Linked DNA regions of Sus scrofa. The protein of the gene in region 1 interacts with the protein of each later gene in a pairwise test. Links are inferred from orthologs where the notes say so. Each region holds a gene or a part of one and is shown on either strand. Other genes may lie near its edges.

Region 1 (2,865 bases):
GGTAAGATAGATGTGTATCTTCAGTTGTCACAAATATTTGATGTTGCAGCAGGAATCTTTTTGTAACAGCAAAATGATGTCCCCTTATTGTTAATGAACAGGTACCAAGTGTCAGTGAGGGAGCAACATGGTTGCTTCCATGGTGCAGGTGAGGTCACTAGCAGGCAGTGGCCTGCCAAGTAGAACTTGCTGAAGGAGGTGGGATCTCTCAGGGTACTGATGGAGTTTGGAGGATTGGCCTATACCTGCACAACTGGGAGAAGCCTTGCTTTGGAATGAAGGTGATGGGAACACTTCATTTTCTGGGACCAAATGAAGTATGCTTCCCATGATCGCCTTCTGCTCTCCCAACAGCAGCAGCAGACCAGGATATGTGTACAAGAGTGGGCTGGGGATTGTGCTGTTATATGCAAGCGAGGGGAGGGCCGGGGAGGCTAAGGCAAGAAGCTAAGGGTAGTGGGTTCAGAGACAAGGAACACTGGATCGCTCTAGGTAGGGTTGCTCCTCTAGAGACACTTGAGATTTCCAAAGGTATTATTTTCTAGGATCCCTTCTATTTTCTGTACTCTGTTTTCCTGCATTGCTGAAATCACTTCTTCCTCCTGCCTGCATTAACCACAAGTAATTGGTCTGGTGGCTGGGGCTTGGGAGGCAGGGAATAGTCATTTCTGTAATATCAGCCCTAGAGCAATCACATGGGCAGGGTGTGGCTAAACTGAGAATGGCGTTTTTCAGCTTGCTTTCATGACTGGAAATAAAGTGCTGTCCTTATTCTCCTCCTGCAGGTCGGTGAGCTGGTAAAGGTTACGAAGATTAATATGAGTGGTCAGTGGGAAGGGGAGTGTAATGGCAAACGAGGTCACTTCCCATTCACACATGTCTGTCTGCTGGATCAACAGAATCCCGATGAGGACTTCAGCTGAGTATAGCTCAACAAACAGTTTTGCTGACAGATGGGAACAATCTTTTTTTTTTTTTCCAATTGCCATCTATACAGTTTTCTTACAGATGTCAAAGCAGTCTAGTTTCTATAAGCATTCTGTTACCTGTGATCTTTTTCAGATTGAACTGCTCCATTCCTAGTCTCATTTACCATATTCAGGGTACGAAACTGGAGGGCTTGTGTGTTAACTTCTGAATTGACAATTTTAGGTGGTAGCAGCGTTGCCTGAGTATATCTGAAGGGCTAGGTAGCTCGCCTCCTTTCTCTCAGGCGAAACAAATCAACCTGTGGAAAACTGCTGGACAGGAGAGGAGTGTTGCATACTGCTTACCCTGATTTAGTCAGTGGTTTTATTTTCATTCTGAAACCATGCTATCAAATGGCAATAGACTGTTCCCTTCCACCCCCGTGAAGTAATCATGCACCGTGTGAATAGTACCCAGTGGGATTGCTTTTTCATTTATAGAACATGACCATTGTATGACTCATTCTGACAGTTCAAATCCTGAGAATTCTGAGGACACTACTAGAGGCATTTGTCTTCCTTCCCAGTCAATGCTTCATACTTTTTCTTGGGATTCTTTCAAGCCTGGTCATTCTTTTCCCCAAAACCTACAGATAGGTTATTTCTCAAGATAAGTGTTTATTTTCATTCCAGATGATAAGCAGGATGTGCAGAGCACTTTATTCAGTGCATAGCTTTAAGCCAGTATTGGATTCACTGCATGGACAGCCAGACTCCCAGCTCTCCGCCTTCCCTCAAGGGGTCAAAGTAGGTTCACATTGCTACCACAGCTAAATAGACTCGCGGCTAGTGGGATCCAGCAGGGCCGTTTCTCCCGAGTGCCAGTATCCTCTTAGGGGTCTCTTTGGAATTCTTAGCTTCTACTTGGAGTGGAAGGACCAATCACTTAAGAATATTCCATAGAAGGTTGGGGGGCCAAATTCTGCCCTTTTGCTTTATGTACAACTTGTATAAAAGTCAAATTAAAATTACGTGAGTTTGGGGATAGGGTTAGTGCTTTGAAAAATGTTTGAACCAATCACAAATTACTTACGTATTATTCATTTCATATGGCCAGAATAGTGCTTAAAGTACATTACATTATAAACTGCCTTCATTTTGGGCTCTTTTTCTTTGTGTTCAAGTTTAGTTTACAAAACCTTTTAAGTGTGGAATGATTCGTTTATATGGGGTTAGGCGCTCCAAAGAATAGACTTCTGAGACCAAAAATGATCTAGGCTATTTAGATTACAGTTTGAATCTTTCAAAGTTAGTTCGCAGTCCGGAGGCAGTTACTATCTATAGTGTGATATGACCAATAGAAACATGTTTTTGCTTTTGGCCTCATTTTGGAAAAGTAATGTATCTTTCCAATTGTTTTGCATAGGTTAAGATTAATTTGCCTTCTTTGAACATAGGCCAAATCATGGTATCCCAGCGACTAGCACAGTGCCTGGCACAGTCAGCGTACAGATGTTTGTGTGAGTGAATGAGGGGTGTGCAGAAGCTCATTATATGGCACAGGGAAGCCAGCTGGCACAGGATTTACATACATTACCACAAGCGAACTAATGAGTTATGCTAATTTAATATATTTTTACCTCACACTAAGGTAATGCTTGATAAAGACATTAGTGCTCGACTTTTAAAATGTTAGCACAGTGCTGTGCACATAGTGGGTGCTCAATAATATTGAATGAACAGATTTGCAATACTAGACTTCATTCCATCTGACTACTCTGTTAAATTTTCAGTTAGAGCATAGATACTGTAAAATCCAAATACACGTTAAATCTTGTTTTCCTGAAAGTATGACATCTAAAATATTTGTAGAAAAGCTTTGTCACAACTGAGTTGAATGTTTGTATTTTCTTTTGCCTTTGACTTTGATATTGGCTTGTAATGTCTCTTCATCATA
Region 2 (4,448 bases), on another chromosome or scaffold:
CAGGTCAGAGGTCAGAAACAAGCCACTTTTTTGACTACACCATAGCTTTGGCAACATAACCCACGGTGCTGGGGTGCTGGGCTGTGTCCGGGTGCTGCAGACACACCCCTGCAGGGATTCCTTATTTTAATTTTTTTTCTTTTCTATGGCTGTGCCTATGGCACGTGGAAGTTCCCAGGTTGGGGGAGCTATAGTTGCCAGCCTACACCACAGCCACGGCAACGCCAGGCCCTTCACCCACGGAGTGGGGCCAGGGATCGAACCCACACCACAGCCTCATGGATACTCGTCAGTAGTTTCTGCCGCCACAACAGGAACTTCACGACATGCATTTTCCTAGTCACCTACTGAATCATGACAGGACCTGTGAGTGAGGTGCTGTTACTGTCCCCACTTTACAGGGGGGACTGGGGCTCAGGATGACACAGTAAATGCCAGAGATGGCTTGGACCCCAGGGCATTTACCCACTCCTGCCTGGCACCGTCCAGTGTGGTCGGTTCTCCGTGGCCCCGACACCCTTAGCCATGCGTCTCCAAGGCCACTTTCCTGTGGGCGCTCACGCTCCTCTCTCCGCTCTGAAGGTGAAAGTTCATGGGGAAAATGAGCAGCAGAACCTCCTGTGCCCCGACCTGTCACCCTGGGGTCTGGGAGCCCCGCCTCTGTCCTCCGCAGCACGTAGGCCCACTGGGCATTCACAGGGGCTTTGCTGAACCAGCAAACAGCGGCACCTGCCTCCAGCCACAGACCTGAGCTACGTCTCTTATCACAGATGCTGTTGGAAGTCTCTGCTGGGGGGAGCAGGCAGGAAGTCAGGAAACAGGCTGCAAGAAGACGGTTGAGCTTAAAAGACCCTTCTGAGAGGGAACCAGGCACTGCCTCTCCCTGGGGGCGGCTTGGCATCAGGGTGGGGCTAGGCGGTGTCTTCCTGGAGAAATTCTGCAGCCCCGAGAAGATGGGACTCTGTATCTTGAATGGCACTGGGTGGAGTGGAACTGAAATGGCTCTGGACAGTGCTCCTGGCTCCTGGGGGGGTCCTCTCCCCACGACAGTGCCCCCACGCCCTCCTGGACGGGCCATCAGCCCCCTTGGCAATGAAAGTGGCAGTCAAGCTGGCTCAGCCTGACCACGGCTGCCCCAGGAGCATTGCAGGTGTGGCTCAAGGGCAGAAGACAGCTACTGCCTGCTGTGGCCCAGCTGCAGGGCACGCCTGGATGGAGCTCCTGCTGGCCGTGTGCATCCCCCATCCTAGGGGAGCCTCAGCCTTCGCCAGGGGCGGCCGGAGCTTCTGGAGCCTGGGATAGGAGGGTAGCCGTCGCTCTCTTGCTGCTGCAGGTGACTGGAGAGCCCTAGTGGCTTTTCATGACCGAAGTGAAGGGGCTCACTCGTGCCAGGAGGGAGTGGCTGTAGACCCGCAGAAACCCCACGCGGGCTTCGGGATGCCAGTGGGAGCGCGCCGTGTGCTGGCGGAATGAGGGTTTGCGGACTTGGGTAGCGATGGGGAACTCTCTGTAACTGTCCCTTTGTTGTGTGTTTGCGTTTCCAGTAGGAGACAGGAGACCGAGCAGCGAGACGGCCTCATGGCGTCTGATGCGAGTCACGTGCTGGAAGCCGCCCTGGAGCAGATGGACGGCATCCTCGCCGGTAGGTCAGACCGAGAGACCGCGTCCTCTCGCTGGACTTCTCTTTCGGGTGCAGAGAGGAGCCCCCTGTTGGATTTCTTTTACTCTGTGTGCCATCTCTCTCTCTCTCTCTTTTTGGCCACACCTGCAGCATGTGGAAGTCCCTAGGCCAGGGACTGAACCCACGTCACCCAAGCCACAGCAGTGACAATGCTGGATCCTTACCCTGCTAGGCCACCAGGGAACCGCTGCCATCTCTCTTCTAATAGCTCAGACTTGGCCTCTTTGACGTCCGGTGTGAGCCTAGGTGTCTGTTGAGCCTGCACATGCTCCCGTGTTATATAAATGCATGTATATTTGTGCACAGGTCTAACCGTGTCGCAGTTTGGATCCTGGCTGTGAGGCAGTTTCAGTGCCGTGAGATTTTTATTGTAGACGTGCTCAGAGCACATCATACCTTATGATGCTCAAGCTGAAACTCCCAGACTTGGCCACCCAACGCCGGTGTCCGCCCCCGTCCCCAGCTGGTCTTCAGTATGTTTGGAAGGCAGGAGGCAGTTCTGTACTGATTCACCTAATCACCTGAAGACTGTTCTTTATGCCGTATTGTTTTTTATCCGTCACAACTGTCTGGCTTCATGTTTGCCATGGCCACTTAGGAACATTCGCTGGAGAAGATCCAGCCAATTGCTGATTGGAAAGGCCCGCCAGCGGGCTGTTTGGGCGGAGGAACTCCTGGATGGGGCAACTGAAGCCCATACTGGTTAGACCAAGGCTGTCGTTGGAAGTCTTTCCCGTCAGGCCCAGGCCTTCTTTCTGTCCTTACCTGATACAGGCCAGTGGCCTTACTTGCCGACGGGGCGTGTTTCTTTGGGACTTTGCTGCGGGAGGGAGGTTTGGGCTGAGTGTGGCTGCAGCCCAGGGCACACACGGGCCACTGGACCCGGTCCCTTGCCTCTCCTCCGTCCTGCCGAGATACACCCGGCGGGCGCACTGAGGGCTCTGGGTGTTTGCGCCTGGGGCACAGGAGGTGTCCGTGTAGTAGCACCTTCAGGTTTTGGTGGCCCTGCCATGTGTTCTGATGACGTCTGTCAGGCTCTTAATTTCTTAGGGAACACAGCACCCTCGAGAGGTCACGACTAACGTCCCACTTTCCAGAGGCTCCAGCGGTTGGGATGTCCTGCTCTAGGGGAGGGTCCCTGAAGCCCCACCGGGAGGACACGGTCAAGAGCGTGGGGTTCCTAGCAGTCCTTTTGTTTTTTTTTAATTTATTTATTTATTGTATACCCGAGGCACATGGAAGCACCCAGGCTAGGGATCGAACCTGCGCCACAGCAGCGACAATGCTGGATCCTTAACCTGCTGAGCCACCAGGGAACTCCTGTAGCCATTCTTTTAGAGTCTCATCTGGAAGCTTCCGGGACCTCGTTTGCACTGAGACTCTCGTGGGCAGGTCAGACTCTCAGACCTGCTCCTCAGGTTGTCAGCACTCCTGAGCCCCGAGCCAAGGAGCTCGGAGGAGCCTCTCAGAGCACCCCCCACCCCCGGCATGCAGAGCTCTTGGGTGGCTGTGATGGGTGATGTGACCCCTGCTGAAGAAGACAGCCCTGGGTGGGGTCCTTCCCCCTAGTCTCCCTGCCTCCTAGTCTCCCTGCACAAGCATTCCTGAAGTGACAAAGCCTCTGGTAAAGTCCCCTCTGTTGGGGGGCGAGGACGTTGTGTCGGGACCTCGTGTGGGTCTGGGGTCAGCCCCGGGTGCGGAGGGCGGGCCCTGCTGTCGGTTGGGTGGGCCCGGGACCCCCATGCTCCTTCCCTTCCAGGACCCGCTCCCTCCTTCTCCCGTTTCCTCAGGCCTCCACCCTGCAGGCTGCTCAGGAAGGGCTCCCGGGCTTCTCCGGAACAGGCAGGAGCGTTTCGCAGAGAAGTGGCCAAGACATTCCAAGGCCTGCTCTGTGGGCCGGGGGAGGAACACCTGTAGCCAGAGCGCTGGGTTTAAATCCCAACTCTGCACCGAATTGCCTGCATCACCCACGCCTCCATTTCCTCAGATTTAGAGCGGGATGAAATAGTACCCACCTAAGAAGGTGGCTCTCTGATGCTTAAAACAGAGCCTGGCCTGTAGGAAGCGCCATCGCATGTGAGCTCAGGATAAATTCACGAAGGACAAAAGCATCTTTACATGTGAGTCTTCTCTAGGGACACAGTAGAGCGGTCCTTTATTTAGCCTCTCCCTTCACCTGTCTGGTTTTCACTGTCTAAGGCCCGCGATGCCTCCTGGACTCGCCTGGGGTCAAAAGATGAATGCATAGCCTTCTGAGTGGTCTCTGCTCTGCTCTTGCCCCCTGTCTTCCACAGAGCAGCAGAGCAATCCTTTAAATGTAAATCAAATCACATCCCTCGCTCCCCACAACCCTTCCCTGGCTTCCCGTCTCGGGGTAAGAATCTAGAGCCCCGTCATAACCGGCGGCTGGATGGGACTTGGCCTGTGGCTGCCCCGCCTACATTGTCCTGCTGGCTGTCTCAGGGCCTTGCTGTCCCCTCTGCTGGAATGTCCTCCTGCAGGCACACTCAGGTCTGATCTGTGTCGCTGAGTCGTGAGAGGCCTCCCCTCTCGGCGGCAGCGTCCTCGCTTCCCCCGCGTCCGTGTGTCCTGTTTTTATTTCTCTGTAGCGCTTGTCAGCCCCTGACCCTGCGTTCATATATGTGTCTTTGTTTTTACCATCTGCCTCCCGCACCAGATCATACACTTGTGAGACAGAGGCTTTGCCACCCCATCTCCTGTGCCTCTTTTGGCCTGCAGCACAGAAGAGGGTTTGCTTGTCTGTCTG

Evidence for each region.
Region 2: the proteins of CRK (region 1) and PPFIBP2 interact in binary tests that used the Homo sapiens proteins (3 or more experiments, as listed by UniProt). The link is inferred for Sus scrofa from reciprocal best matches to the Homo sapiens genes CRK and PPFIBP2.

What each region holds. Positions count from the first base shown.
Region 1 is NC_010454.4:47,658,409-47,661,273, reverse strand, and holds part of CRK (adapter molecule crk), read left to right. Parts: intron 1-785; coding exon 786-923; 3' UTR 924-2,865. UniProt on the Homo sapiens protein: Involved in cell branching and adhesion mediated by BCAR1-CRK-RAPGEF1 signaling and activation of RAP1.
Region 2 is NC_010451.4:2,104,837-2,109,284, reverse strand, and holds the start of PPFIBP2 (liprin-beta-2), read left to right. Parts: upstream 1-1,544; 5' UTR 1,545-1,578; coding exon 1,579-1,642; intron 1,643-4,448. UniProt on the Homo sapiens protein: May regulate the disassembly of focal adhesions. Did not bind receptor-like tyrosine phosphatases type 2A.